Caenorhabditis elegans: one gene and its partners. The protein of the gene in region 2 purifies or fractionates together with the protein of the main gene of each other region. This does not show direct contact. Each region holds a gene or a part of one and is shown on either strand. Other genes may lie near its edges. The genes, in order: ccdc-55, math-48 and snf-10.

Region 1 (4,081 bases), on a different chromosome or scaffold from region 2:
TTGAAAATAACTGTAATATTTTCTGTCGGATTTTTTTTCTCGTATTTCGGTTTCTTGTTGATTTTCCGGAAAACTCCTTTTTTAAAAATAATTTTCGGTTATCTTTGAATCTGTTCTCATTAAAATCAAAACATTTCTGGTTAATTCGTAGTTTTTCGGATGTTTTAAAGTGTCGTAAAAGTATTTAGATAAACTGCCGTTTTTTGAAAATTTACAGCAAAAATAGAGAAATTATTCGGAAAAATAATTAAAAAAAAAAAACAGAAAATATGTAATTTTAGATTTCTCAAAAAAAATTAATCAATAAAAATTCGTTTTTTTAATTTCCGGTCATTTGTTATGTCTAACGATTAAAACATCGATTTTTTTCTAAATTTACCTCGCAGATTCATCTTTATTACTGGAGCTCGTGGGCTCCTCGGATGGAGCTTTCGTCTCCGACGCCATTGGCTCCGAACTCTGAAATTCCTTATTTAATTCTCTCTGAAATCACGTATTAAAATATATAAAAATGGTAGAGATAACCATAGAAGTTTTTAAAAAATGAACATTGGAAATTGAAATTGGATATTTCATTAGGTCTGGAATTGGAAAATTGGGAGATTGGAATTTTAACCAGCAATTGAAAAAAACAAACAAAGAAAAAATAAATAAAAATTAAATTTTACAATGGAGGTACAACAATTCCTTGCTCCTTTCTCTCGAAATATCTTTGCCTCGCTGCCTCAATATCTTCTTCTGTATTCCGCTGCTTCAGAATTTCTTTGAGTCCGTCTAATCTTGCTTCTTTATCGATTTTCTTCGGCTTCAGCTTATCTTTAAGCGAGATTTTCGGCGCTTTTTCAGATTTTTCAGATTTCCCTTCAGGCGATCTTCTACTCCCTGATTCTCTCGATTCTATGGACTTCCTTGAAGTTGGTGACGGGCTTGAAGTCCTTCTCCGAGCTCGTGGAGCTCTTGCACCTTCATCATCTGAAGATGGAGGTGTTGGAGTGTAGTTTCGCTGACGGATTCTCTCTGCGTGAGTCGTTGCTTTTTTTTTTGATACCGTATTCAGGCCAGGTTTAAGATCTCCTTCGAAATTTTTTTGTGGAGGTTTTGGTGCTTTTTCCTCGTCAGAATCATCGGAATAAATTGATTTTTTAAGCTTTTCGGCTGGTTTCTTATCCGATTTTTCCGGTTTCGGATCAATTTCTTCATCAGAATCTTCCCGTTTTCTCACATTTTTCTGCTCTTTCTTCCTCTGTTTAATAGCTGTAGGATCTCTTGCCAAATCGTTTAAAAGCGTCCTTCCCATACCAATTTCCCATAATTTCTGTTTCTGAACACTTGTCATATCATTAAAAGCAGCTTCTTCAGCTTCTTGTTCCCGATGTTTCTTCACTTCTTCCTGTTGCTTACGGTATGCTCCAGTTACAAAAACTTCTTTATCATCAAATTCATCGCCTTCTTTCTCTCGTTCTCTGAGTTGTTGGCGTTCTTCACGAGAAAATTGTTCGAGTTGGCGACGAGCATGGGCTTTAATGATGTTCTCCGCGTATTTCGATTCACGATTTTTGTCCGCTTTTCGAGCTTCTTCTTTCTGCAAAAACAAAGCTGTTAGTTGAATTTTTCAGCCTAAAAATACTGAAACTTCTGAAACAAACCATTTTTGGTTAAAGATGTGTTTTTTTTTCTTTTTTAACGAAAAATTTTCGATTCTCTAAAAACCCGAAAAATCGAAAATGTTCGTTTATTCTTGTCCATTTTTTAGATTTAAAAAAATATCAAAATTGTTAGTGGAAACTTATTATATAAATTGTTTTATTTGTTGAAAATTTTTTTTTCATATTTTCTTATCGAAAATTCTTTGTTAATGGTTTTAAAATCTACACTTTTTCGTTTTATTTTTAGTATTTTTTTTTTCGATTTTCAACTTTTCGAGCCCTCACTTTTTCATTCTTAATCGCCTGAATTTCATCGTAATTCCCGTCATAATCGAAAATCGTCGGATCCTCGGCTTCTGCCTTTTGATGTTCTCGTTCTGCTGCTTTTTGCACACGAATAACTGAAGCTGATGCCATATTGGTAGCTGTGGCTGGCTGAAAAGTAAGAAATTTATAATTCAGAAATTTATAAAAGCTTTTCTAAATCGAAAAATAGTCAAAAACTAAAAATGTTTAAAATTGCTAGTAGGAAAAAATTATTTTTGATAATTTTCGGTCATTTCTTTGTTGTTTGAAAACTTTTTCTCCTACACTAAATTTTTCAAACTTCTCTGAATTTTACCACATTATCATCATCATCATCGTCTCCAAAAACACTGGAAACTCGAATTGGAGCAGCTTTCGGTTCATCTTTTTTCCGAATATTTAATCCTACATGCCGTTTTGATGCCATCTAAAAACTTTTTTATTTTATTTTTCCAATTAAAAGAATCCAAAGGATACAGTTTCAGATATAAAACACCGCTGTGAACGGGAATTGGAAATAAAAATTAAACAGGAAGAATAAATAAAGTCGTAATTTTTTTTTCAAAGAAATCAGAAAAATCACCCGGTGCCCGGCAAAAAAGAAGTAACGAGAAAAAATGAAAAAACGAGAATAAAAATGCAATTGGAATGACAATTTTTGTGTGTATTTGTGACTATTTGATAACTTTGGGATGCAGTTAGAAATTATTAAATAAAAATAAATAAGTAAAAATTAAAATAAAAAGATTCCTATTCCAATCCCATCCATGTGGTGAGTCCTTGAACAGCTGTTACAATCAATGGCTGCCAGCAGACGAGATAACGGATCCAGTCAAGCAATTTTCCATAGAATAAATGAGGTTTCTCCCATCTGAAATTGAAAATTTTTAAAGAATTTATAATTAAATTTGATTTTTTCAAAAAACTAACGGATTTTTAAACATTCTCTGTAAATCGACACGTTCTTTGCAATACGGGCATGTTTGAAGTTTTCCAACAACTACCCATCCTCTGATACAGAATTCGTGAAAAACGTGGCCACATGAGAGTCTGAAATTATTGATTTTAAGTTTAACAAGAGCTTTCTAGCCTCATGTGTCGATTTACTTTGTTAAATGCAAAAGGGTGCGCGCCTTTAAAGAGTACTGTAAATTTTAAATTTCTGGTGCACCGGATTTTCGTCAATTTTTCAACAAAAAAATGTTAATCAAATTTTATTTATTGAGGCACCACGGATTCAAGATCTGGTGGAATTCCGGATCTACGTTTTCCGGACCTGGCACCGTGCCAACGCAAAAAAAAATTTCTCGGAGGTCTTGATTTTATTTTTCTGTGTAACTTTTATTCGTATATTTGAATTTTTAATTATCAAATAAAAAATTTCACGAAAAACTGTGGAAAAATCGATGAAAATTCGTTCAAAAGCTTCATAATATCAGTTTTTAAAAATTTGGTGCTTTCTGGTGATTCTCGAAGAAAACTGGAAAACTACTTATTAATTCTTTTTTTTAATTAAAAAAAGTGAAAATTCCAAAAATCTGCTGAACTTCTCCACTCACTTATACAATTTTTCATCTTCATCTTCAACCATTTTCGTTGTAACCACAGCATCTGCATCATGAACATGTTCCGAATCATCAAGACGTCCTCCACAAACAGCACAGACACCGTCTTCTAGATGCTTTTTAGGAAGTCCTTCAGGAGTGTAATACTGAAAAATTGGAATTATATTGATTATTTTTCGGCAGCAGGTGAAAAATGTATTTTACCCCGATTCTCGACGCCATTCTCGCCGTGCAAATGTGAGCAAAATCCCGGCCGAGCACTCCGTAATACACACCATAGAACATGAAAAGGATGCCTGGAAGCTTGAAAATTAGATTTTTTCAAAATTTTTCCAAAATTTCTCACCGGCATCCATTAGTGTTGGCTGTGAAACTCCGAATAAAACATGAAATCCTAATAAAGCTCCCATCATGATCAAATATCCAACAACTCCGAGTACATAACTCAGTTTATGCAAAAATAGAAACCATTTGTAGACGAATCTTAAATTATTTCGTTTAATTCGTCTTTTTTATTCTTAAAAACCTTGGTGTTCCTCCACTGATATGTTGAGCCGAGGCTTT
Region 2 (3,602 bases):
GACGGTCAATTTTCTGGTTTCACATTGTTCTTTGTCACATTGCAAATATAATACCAGATAACCATTGTGCCTCCATATTCTAATTCTCCTGTAATACATTGATTATATTCAAAGAATCTTTAAACCTTTAAATCAACTAACCATGGAATATTAAATCGTTCTTCCACATCAGTGAAGTATTGTTCTCCATTCAGAAATTGGGAGATATTTCGGACAGTTTGGCTGATTGCAAACTCTTTGCAAGAAGTAGACATTTTTCTTTGCAAAATTGAAATGGATGAAAAATCGAAGTGGATTTTTTTTCCACGCTAGCATTTGTTGTTTTTTTAAAACACGCTGGATTTTTTTTAGAAACGTCACGTTTGTTGAAATATGCCGTGCATATTATAAAATGGATTACTTTGTATGAATTTAATTTAATATTTGAATAATCAATTTTTAAGCCTAATAAATGAATAATAATTTTCTCGAATAAAACACTGGTCATGAAAAAGTGCAGCAATTTACAGAATTTGTGAGCGACTTGGAAAGGTACAGTTTTAATTTTATTAAAATTTATTCACATGAGAATTTCCACCGAGTAATTGTGTCCTCCAATAGTGATCACATAATAAAAGAGAGCTCTTCGCTTAAATCATCTACATCCTCACATCCAGTCATCTCCACAATGTTCGCGCAAACTTCAATAATGATACTGTCGTTCACCAGAAATCTCTCCTCCATATCCTTCCACCTGATTATCTTATCCCAGCCGCAATCCGTATTATTTGTATAAGTGTGTTTTGTGTTGTATAATAATCTCTGGCCATCCACGGACATCAATTTCAGCGTGTATTTAACTCCAATGGACCAATTATTGATTCTAGACGTTTTTTTATAGCATCGTAAGAATAGTTTGAAAAATCCATCCTTTCTTTTAATCACGAGACACCTTAAAAATATGATTGTTAAAGTAGAGTTCTCTCTTCTTATTGACTAACCATGGAATACCAAAACGAACTTCAGTGTTAGTAAGATATTTATTTCCTTCTCGAATGTTGGAAACATTTCTAACAGTTTGATTTAGCATAAATGTTTTCAGATTCTTGGGAGCAATGCACGGGACATCTGGAATAAGTAGTATCGTTTGGGTCTCTAAAGTAACTTTTTTTCAACTTACTTGAAATTTTAATAATCTTGACATACGCTTCAATTATAACACTGTCATCAACCATATAGTCATTTTCCAGTTCCTCCCAACTGATGAATTTGTGCCAACCTCCCATTTTCAGCTCTTTGAATGTGTGCACCTTATTCCTGGTCAAACTTCTCCCATAAGGCGACACCAACTTCAACGTGAACTCTGTTTCGACAGAAAACTTCCTGGTTTCACATTCTTCTTTGTCACATTGCAAATAAAATACCAAATCACCATTGAGCTTGCATATTCTCATTCTCCTGTAACACGTTAGTTATATTCAAAGAATCTTTAAATCTTTAAATCAACTAACCATGGAATATTAAATCGTTCTTCCACATCAGTGAAGTATTGCTCTCCATTCAGAAATTTGGAGATGTTCCGGATAGTTTGGCTGATTGCAAACTCTTTGAAGGAAGTAGACATTTTTCTTTGAGAAATTGAAATTGATGAAAAATCGAAGTGGATTTTATTTCCACGTTGTTGTCCACATTTGTTGTTTTTTTTAAACTTCACGTTATGTATTTAATTAATTTATATAAATAAGTTGATGGGTTTTTATTTGGAGCTTCCTTGTTCAGGACGTGCTTCCGACACCTCACCGCTAGAATGGCAAAATTGATATGGCAAAATTGATCGATTTGGTTTCTGATAAAATTTCAATAACTTTCTCCGTCTAATGTTCATTCATTCAATTTACGATCGATGAGAAAAAAAATGGGGATACAAATTATATTAGCAATATAAAACCTAGGGAGCAAGCCAGTATACAATAGAAAAAATTAAACACCAAAAAGTTGTAAAATATAATTTTTTAACAGAAAAGACTAAAATGTTGTGTACTTTCACTAATTTCTTGAGCAAGCACAACGTCACTTATGGCGAAATGGAGATTTATCCAGATCAGCAAACAAGTAGAAGTTCTGGCTTCTTGGATCCACGGAAGCCCATACTTCAACTCCATCGTTGCGACAAAGTGCCAAGTCTTTAATCAAAAATCCATCTTGGTAGATATCGGAAGAGCGAGACGTCCGGTACTCGATACCTTTCAGCAAAACTTCTTTGTAGTTCTCAAGGTTGTCCTCTGCCAGTGCAATATGAGCTTCTGCCAATCTAGGATTCGACCCATTGATGAGATGTCTGAGAAACAGATTCAAATCAGATAAAGAGAATGGGTGCTCGATTTTCAGATCTAAAGATCCTGAGCGTTGCATGAGAGCAGATCGTCAAGTCCGATGACACATTCTGCAGTAAACTCCAGGCGATCCAAGTTCTCGGAGACTAGAGCCCTGAACTGCTCACCAAGGAGAGCTCTGTCGGCAATGCTGATATTCATGGCGTCACGGTAGTAGAGATCGAACATCGTTGGGTTGTTCTCTCCCATCACGAGCTTCCACAACTTGATTCCTTTCAGCTCGTCATAGATCACATCTTCATCCATAACAAACAACATATCAATTTCCAGAAGATCCAGAGCGACGAGCAAATTCTCAACGCAACGTCTCATCGAAAAGCTTTCATTGAGCAATATCCAATTCGTAAAGTGCTCCTCAACGTCGTCTGAAGGAGGAATGAATAAGAACCTGCAGCATCCATTGGCAGACCAAACAATGATACCCATAAGGTGATCCAGAACTACGCACACATTTCCTGCTTCGATGTTCAGAAGCTTTACGGATGTTGGAGAGATCAGGGAGAAACTCATTCTGTAATTTATTATTTTAGTAAACATAGAAAATATATAAGTTAAACTCAAAAATCCGCGAATTTAAAATTCTGAAGAGTAGAACGAAGGGCCTTCGCTGGAAGACGGAGGATGGGGAAAGACGGAGCAGACATGGCTGGGAGAATAATGAAGAATGAATGGGGAGATATAGAATGGGATGGCTTGGTATCGATTCTTCAGATTTGCACTCCCGGGATGATGATCACGGTTAATAGTGGGAAAAGGTTTAGGTGAGAACCTTGCAAAATGACTATTTTGAAGGTTCTCACCTGAACGTTTTCACACTATGGGGTAACAGGTGAGAACGTCCCACTAGGAAGTGTCAATCAATTGGGTGAAAATGTCTCAAAATCGATACGAAAAAAAAAACCGATTATTGCAGTGATTAATATGAAAATACCTGATCGCTCTTTGTAAAATCTGAAACTCAGAGAAAAAATTTGTTCAAAAAAGTTACATTTTGAACGTTACTAGGAAGATAAAACAAACGCGTAATAAAAGCCGCCCATCTCTGATGTGGACCTCAGAAATTTAGGAACTTTCCGGAGTGAATCTTCAAAACTGGGGGCAATATTTTCTAATCAGACCTAGGGAAAATCTAGTCGTATGCTATTAGATCATCACCTGTCATGATAAGATCCGTATCACGGATAGATCACCTTATCTTGTTGGTTTTCTTATCAAGAAGCTTGTCTAGTC
Region 3 (4,739 bases), on a different chromosome or scaffold from region 2:
CCAGAAAAAGAAAGAGAAATACTCGGGAATTTCAATCGAGAAGAAAGATTCGCGCCAATGAGGCAATGAATGGCGTCAACAAGCCCGTCTATCAGTTGAGGATATATTTATAGAAGTTAATAGTTTTAGGTTTCAGGCCGCATGCTTCATATTATTCAGACGATGAAGATATTCAAAAGAATACCGCATATGAAAAGTATGATATGTGCATCGATTTAGCTGATTCAACTGATGAACTGAAAGCTATTCGACGAAACTGTGAATCCAACTGCATGATTCGATACGTGATTCATAATCAAAGAATGCAATTATTTATATCTGCTCAGAGAAATATCCTAATGGGGGAAGAGGTGAGACCCTTCTTTGATTAAAAAATATATTATAAGACTCTGTTTCAGCTTACACTTCCACATGACTACGATTCGAATTACTCTAGCAAGGTCATTCAATGCGCTCATCCTTATCAACCACACAATGTTTGCATTCACGAGGTTAGTCAGAGAAAAAATATTTTTTTATAAAAGTAGAATAATTCATTATCAATATCTAACTCTGAGCTGTCTTTCAAATTTCACAGCATTTCGTCTGTCTTCCGGATTCATTGGTCCCCAGTCACCAGTTGCTCTTATCATCACCTAAATTATTCCATAAGTAGTTTTTAAGATATATTCTTACCACAAAAGGTTCCATATTTTTTCTTCGATCATACTCATCTCTCAAAAAGTATAAAATCACAAAGATGCATGGCATGACGAGAAGAGAATATCCTATTGGATCAGACACAATAGAATTTTCATTAAATGCTTTTTTTTGGCCGAATGTTGCAACGATACATCCAAAAGTTACAATGAGTAGAATAGGACTGATTACAAGCCAGTTAAGCCACCAGAAGACGTTAGGAGGTCCGTGTCCCCCAATCATTGCTCTTATGTTTCTGAAATAATTTTTTGGACTAAAAACTTTTTGTTTCAAATTATTGTGAATAGGTAAACTCTCTAAAAAAGATTCACATTTTTCGAACTTACACGGAAAATCTCTTGAATCCATACACATAAGATACCGTTATTACTTCAACAAAAGCAATAAATATAGTGCCATATGAAGCAAATGTTTCGATACTACTCATTAGATTAATTCCTCCGTTACCCAAAAATGGTAAACTAGAAATAAGACCTGTGACACTCATAATTGCTAAAATGATAGCTCTCTTATGCCAACTCGCAAGAGCTTTTCCATATTTTCGCCGACTTCCGTTTAATCTTTCCACAATCATAGAACTTATAACCTAAACTTAGATATTGTGGACGTTTTTGTGGCTTCATTTCTACCCAAATATAACTAGAAATTCCCTGGATTGAGCATGCTGCAAGTGTTAGCCAGAATAGAAACACCCAAATGCTTCCCATTGAAGAATTTGTTAATATCTAAATAACTTTTCTGATTATTATAGATTGAACTATTTTAATATACCTCGGAGATTACACTTTCAATCATTACCGGTGTAGCGTATAGTTGAATTCTTTCACTAGCTTCCAAGTCTGGGTAATATAATCTTCCTATTTCAGCCATGAACATGAACGAAAGTAATCCAGTGCATATGTAAAATACAAAAGAAACAATGCTAATAAGTAGAACATCTCGATGTATTTTGTTGTGAAAGTTGTTCAATGAGGCAAATTTCTGGATTCCGCCACATCCAACACTAGAAACAAATACTTTATTTTTCTGAAATTCATGATTCACACCTACTTCAATGCTCTAAGTGCATGTGCTGCAGCATCTGCCCATGACCACACCCACATCCATTTATCCTCGTAACCTTCACTTTGATAAAAGAATGCAGTAAATACGTTTGTAGTATCATTCAAAGACATTCCATACGAAAGAAGCATTATAGTTCCCACCAATAAAAGTGTAAGAGCTACGATACCGGTTCTACCAAGAACTTTTGATCCTCCAATGGAAATTATACCAATAATTATCCATAGACAAACTGCACATATAATAGATGTAACACTTGGCGGCTCCCAATCATTCATTGTTATGCTTCTCTGAAAGTTGCTTCGAAATGAATATCATACAGTCAAGTTATACAACCTTGTACATCAACCCATGAACAAAGCTCATAAATGGAGATTTTCTCTGTTGAAAACCACGGGTGGCAATTAACATTTCTTGATATTCATCACATTCTTTATCCGATCCCGGTTGAATCCATGTACATTTCGACGATAGCTTGTAATTGACACAGTAATCCCCAGATTGACTTTCCTGGCAGCTCTCCCATGGAGATGTTGACCAGATTGATTGGGAAGCATGTGTAAAAATAGTAAGATCGTAAATTGCCCAGACAGATAGACTGATTGTTCTGAATTGAGGATTTTGAAAAAATGAGAAGTTAGGTTCAGATAAATACCTGAAAACCATTATGAAGCACATTCCTGCAGATAATCCTGCCATGGCGGGAGCCATTCTTGAGAAAACTGATAGTGGAGAAGCAGAAGCATATTGTCCAAGAGCTGTTTCAAGATAAAGAAGTGGAACAGCGATGAATACATAACAAAATGTGAATTGATATGGAAACCATCCACCGTAATATCCACAGAGATACGGGAAAAACCAAATATTTCCAGAACATGTAACGAACGAAAGTGTGGCAGTGATAGCTTCCCATTTTGAAGTCCACGTGGGTCCTTCCATTTTTGTATCCAACCCAATATTCTCCAGAGCTAGATTTGTCACGCTTTTGAATCCAATGTTAGAGATGGCAGTAGCATTTGAAGTTTTCTGTAGAAAACAAAAAGATTTTTGATCAGAAAATGTATATATTTTACCTTTATTGGTATTATTTCCTCTGTAGTAGTGCTTCTATTATCATCATTTACTGTTTCGTTTGATGCTGATCTTGTAGTTTCTTCAGATTTTGTTCTAGTTTGTTTTAATTGTTTGAAATCTGAAGACGACGCCATTCACTGTTTTTATAAAACCAAAATAAACTCGTATCGAAATTGAAATTCAATTGCTCTAGTTTCTAAAAATTCACGTTTTCTAAATATTACTAAATATGATTTCAGAAGGAACGTCAAAACACTATCAAGAAGTTCATATCAATGAATTCCAAGTGACTGTTCTCAAATGTAATTTTATAATTTTTTATCACTAATTATTCTCATCTTTCAGACTCTGAAAGTATCTTCTGTTCTCGGAGTCAAATCGTATCTATAATTATCATGTTAATACAATCAGTTTGTTTCATATAATAATTGTTTTTAAAAACACAGTTTTCCACAGTACATCTTCAATAAAATCATAATATCATAATATCATTCTATTTATAATTTTGTTCATACTCTTTTTTATAAAGTTAATTTCATTGCTTCATTTGTAGACGCCCAAGACAATTTATTTAAATCTTCATCGTGGTTACGGTACCGTATACGGTTTTCAAGTTTTATGGCCGCGGCCTAGAATCCGACAACCGTGTACTCCTCCTAGACAATTGCAGAATATAATTTTATTGCTTAATTTTTATGGAATTTGGTTCTAGAACTATAATTACTTGATTCCTAATTCAAAATTTAAATTGAAAACTCCCATATAAGTGCATTGATTCTTGTGTATTGTTTTAATCAAAATTTTGAACACGTGATGCAAAAAGGGTATTCTTGGAACGTTTTCTACTTTTTTCTCATTGGAGAAATTTTCATTGTCTCTAACGAGCGTTTTGCATTTTCTCTATCCTCTTTCCATTCACTTTCATTTCTGAAAAAGGCTTCCATCTCGATGTCTTGACGACGAATTCGTCATGTGTGAGGCTGACTGCACCATCGATTGAAAGAGACCTTCCCTGTCGTTCTCTCGTTCCCCTAACTGTCTGATATCTCATGCTCATCTGTACTCTCTCGTCGCTCGGCATTCGTCTGTTTCTCTTTTTCTTTTCCTTCTATACCTCGTGGACCCTTTCAATATTTGGTGGTAAAAACGTGATAAAACTCACTGCTCTCTGAAATTATTTTTCATTCCCACGGATCTCGTTCATATCGAATAATTTTTCTATTTTTCATTTCTTCTCAGTTTTGCCTTCATTTTTCGTTGTTTTTCGAATTTCGAAATTTTAAAAATCTTTTCGTCTAAAAGGTTTTTTTTATTTTCAGCGCGATTTTATCGTGTTCAAATCGTTAGTAAGGATAATAAAGGAGGAATCCGAAATTTGGGTAATTGCATGTCTTGGTAAATATTTCAAATTGTACAGCAAACTCTTCAACATTAAGACTTTTCAGAATAATAACAATGTCGGCGACCGAAAAGGACAAAACTCCACTTTTGGGTGTTTCTCAACCCATTTCGCTAGCCCATCCAGATTCAAAAGACATTGCACAGACGACTTTATTGATAGAAACATTGAAAAAGTTTGGAAGCTATGAACCAAAAGAAGAAACAGAACAAAGAATGGAAGTACTTCGTAATTTGAATCGTCTAGTCAAAGAATGGGTTAAGAATGTAACTGCCATGAAGGTTCGTTTTTTGTTGAAATATTTAAATTTTAAAAGTATGATCTGAAATAGGTTTTTGTTTATACAATATTTATGAAAATCATCCAACGACTGGATATAATAATTGAAAATAATTAATGTTGGCTCATTGACAAAACTCAGTTTTCTAGAAGAAATTTCAAAAATACTTTTATTTTTACTGTTTAGTTGTGGAAAATTTTTAAAAATTAAATTTGACATTAAATT

What was found.
Region 1: the proteins of math-48 (region 2) and ccdc-55 fractionate together in Caenorhabditis elegans (co-fractionation; one large-scale study listed by BioGRID). This does not show direct contact.
Region 3: the proteins of math-48 (region 2) and snf-10 fractionate together in Caenorhabditis elegans (co-fractionation; one large-scale study listed by BioGRID). This does not show direct contact.

The regions. Positions count from the first base shown.
Region 1 is NC_003281.10:4,166,387-4,170,467, forward strand, and holds ccdc-55 (Nuclear speckle splicing regulatory protein 1 homolog), read right to left. Parts: upstream 2,380-4,081; coding exon 2,269-2,379; intron 2,082-2,268; coding exon 1,932-2,081; intron 1,583-1,931; coding exon 665-1,582; 3' UTR 562-664; downstream 1-561. Other genes in the region: E3 ubiquitin ligase rnf-5, read right to left, coding at 380-447; E3 ubiquitin ligase rnf-121, read right to left, coding at 2,703-2,823, 2,883-3,002, 3,512-3,663, 3,722-3,813, 3,864-4,000, 4,044-4,081. UniProt on the Caenorhabditis elegans protein: Required for the cessation of distal tip cell migration at the end of larval morphogenesis.
Region 2 is NC_003280.10:1,944,915-1,948,516, forward strand, and holds math-48 (MATH domain-containing protein), read right to left. Parts: upstream 1,614-3,602; 5' UTR 1,604-1,613; coding exon 1,491-1,603; intron 1,438-1,490; coding exon 1,160-1,437; intron 1,108-1,159; coding exon 981-1,107; intron 932-980; coding exon 604-931; 3' UTR 524-603; downstream 1-523. Other genes in the region: ZK250.14 (MATH domain-containing protein), read right to left, coding at 1-88, 142-254.
Region 3 is NC_003283.11:10,437,827-10,442,565, forward strand, and holds snf-10 (Transporter), read right to left. Parts: upstream 2,998-4,739; 5' UTR 2,970-2,997; coding exon 2,835-2,969; intron 2,788-2,834; coding exon 2,417-2,787; intron 2,369-2,416; coding exon 2,098-2,368; intron 2,052-2,097; coding exon 1,750-2,051; intron 1,703-1,749; coding exon 1,471-1,702; intron 1,425-1,470; coding exon 1,329-1,424; intron 1,286-1,328; coding exon 1,026-1,285; intron 935-1,025; coding exon 676-934; intron 636-675; coding exon 540-635; 3' UTR 504-539; downstream 1-503. Other genes in the region: set-22 (SET domain-containing protein), read left to right, coding at 1-94, 137-350, 399-491, 3,075-3,125; pap-1 (Poly(A) polymerase), read left to right, coding at 4,291-4,515.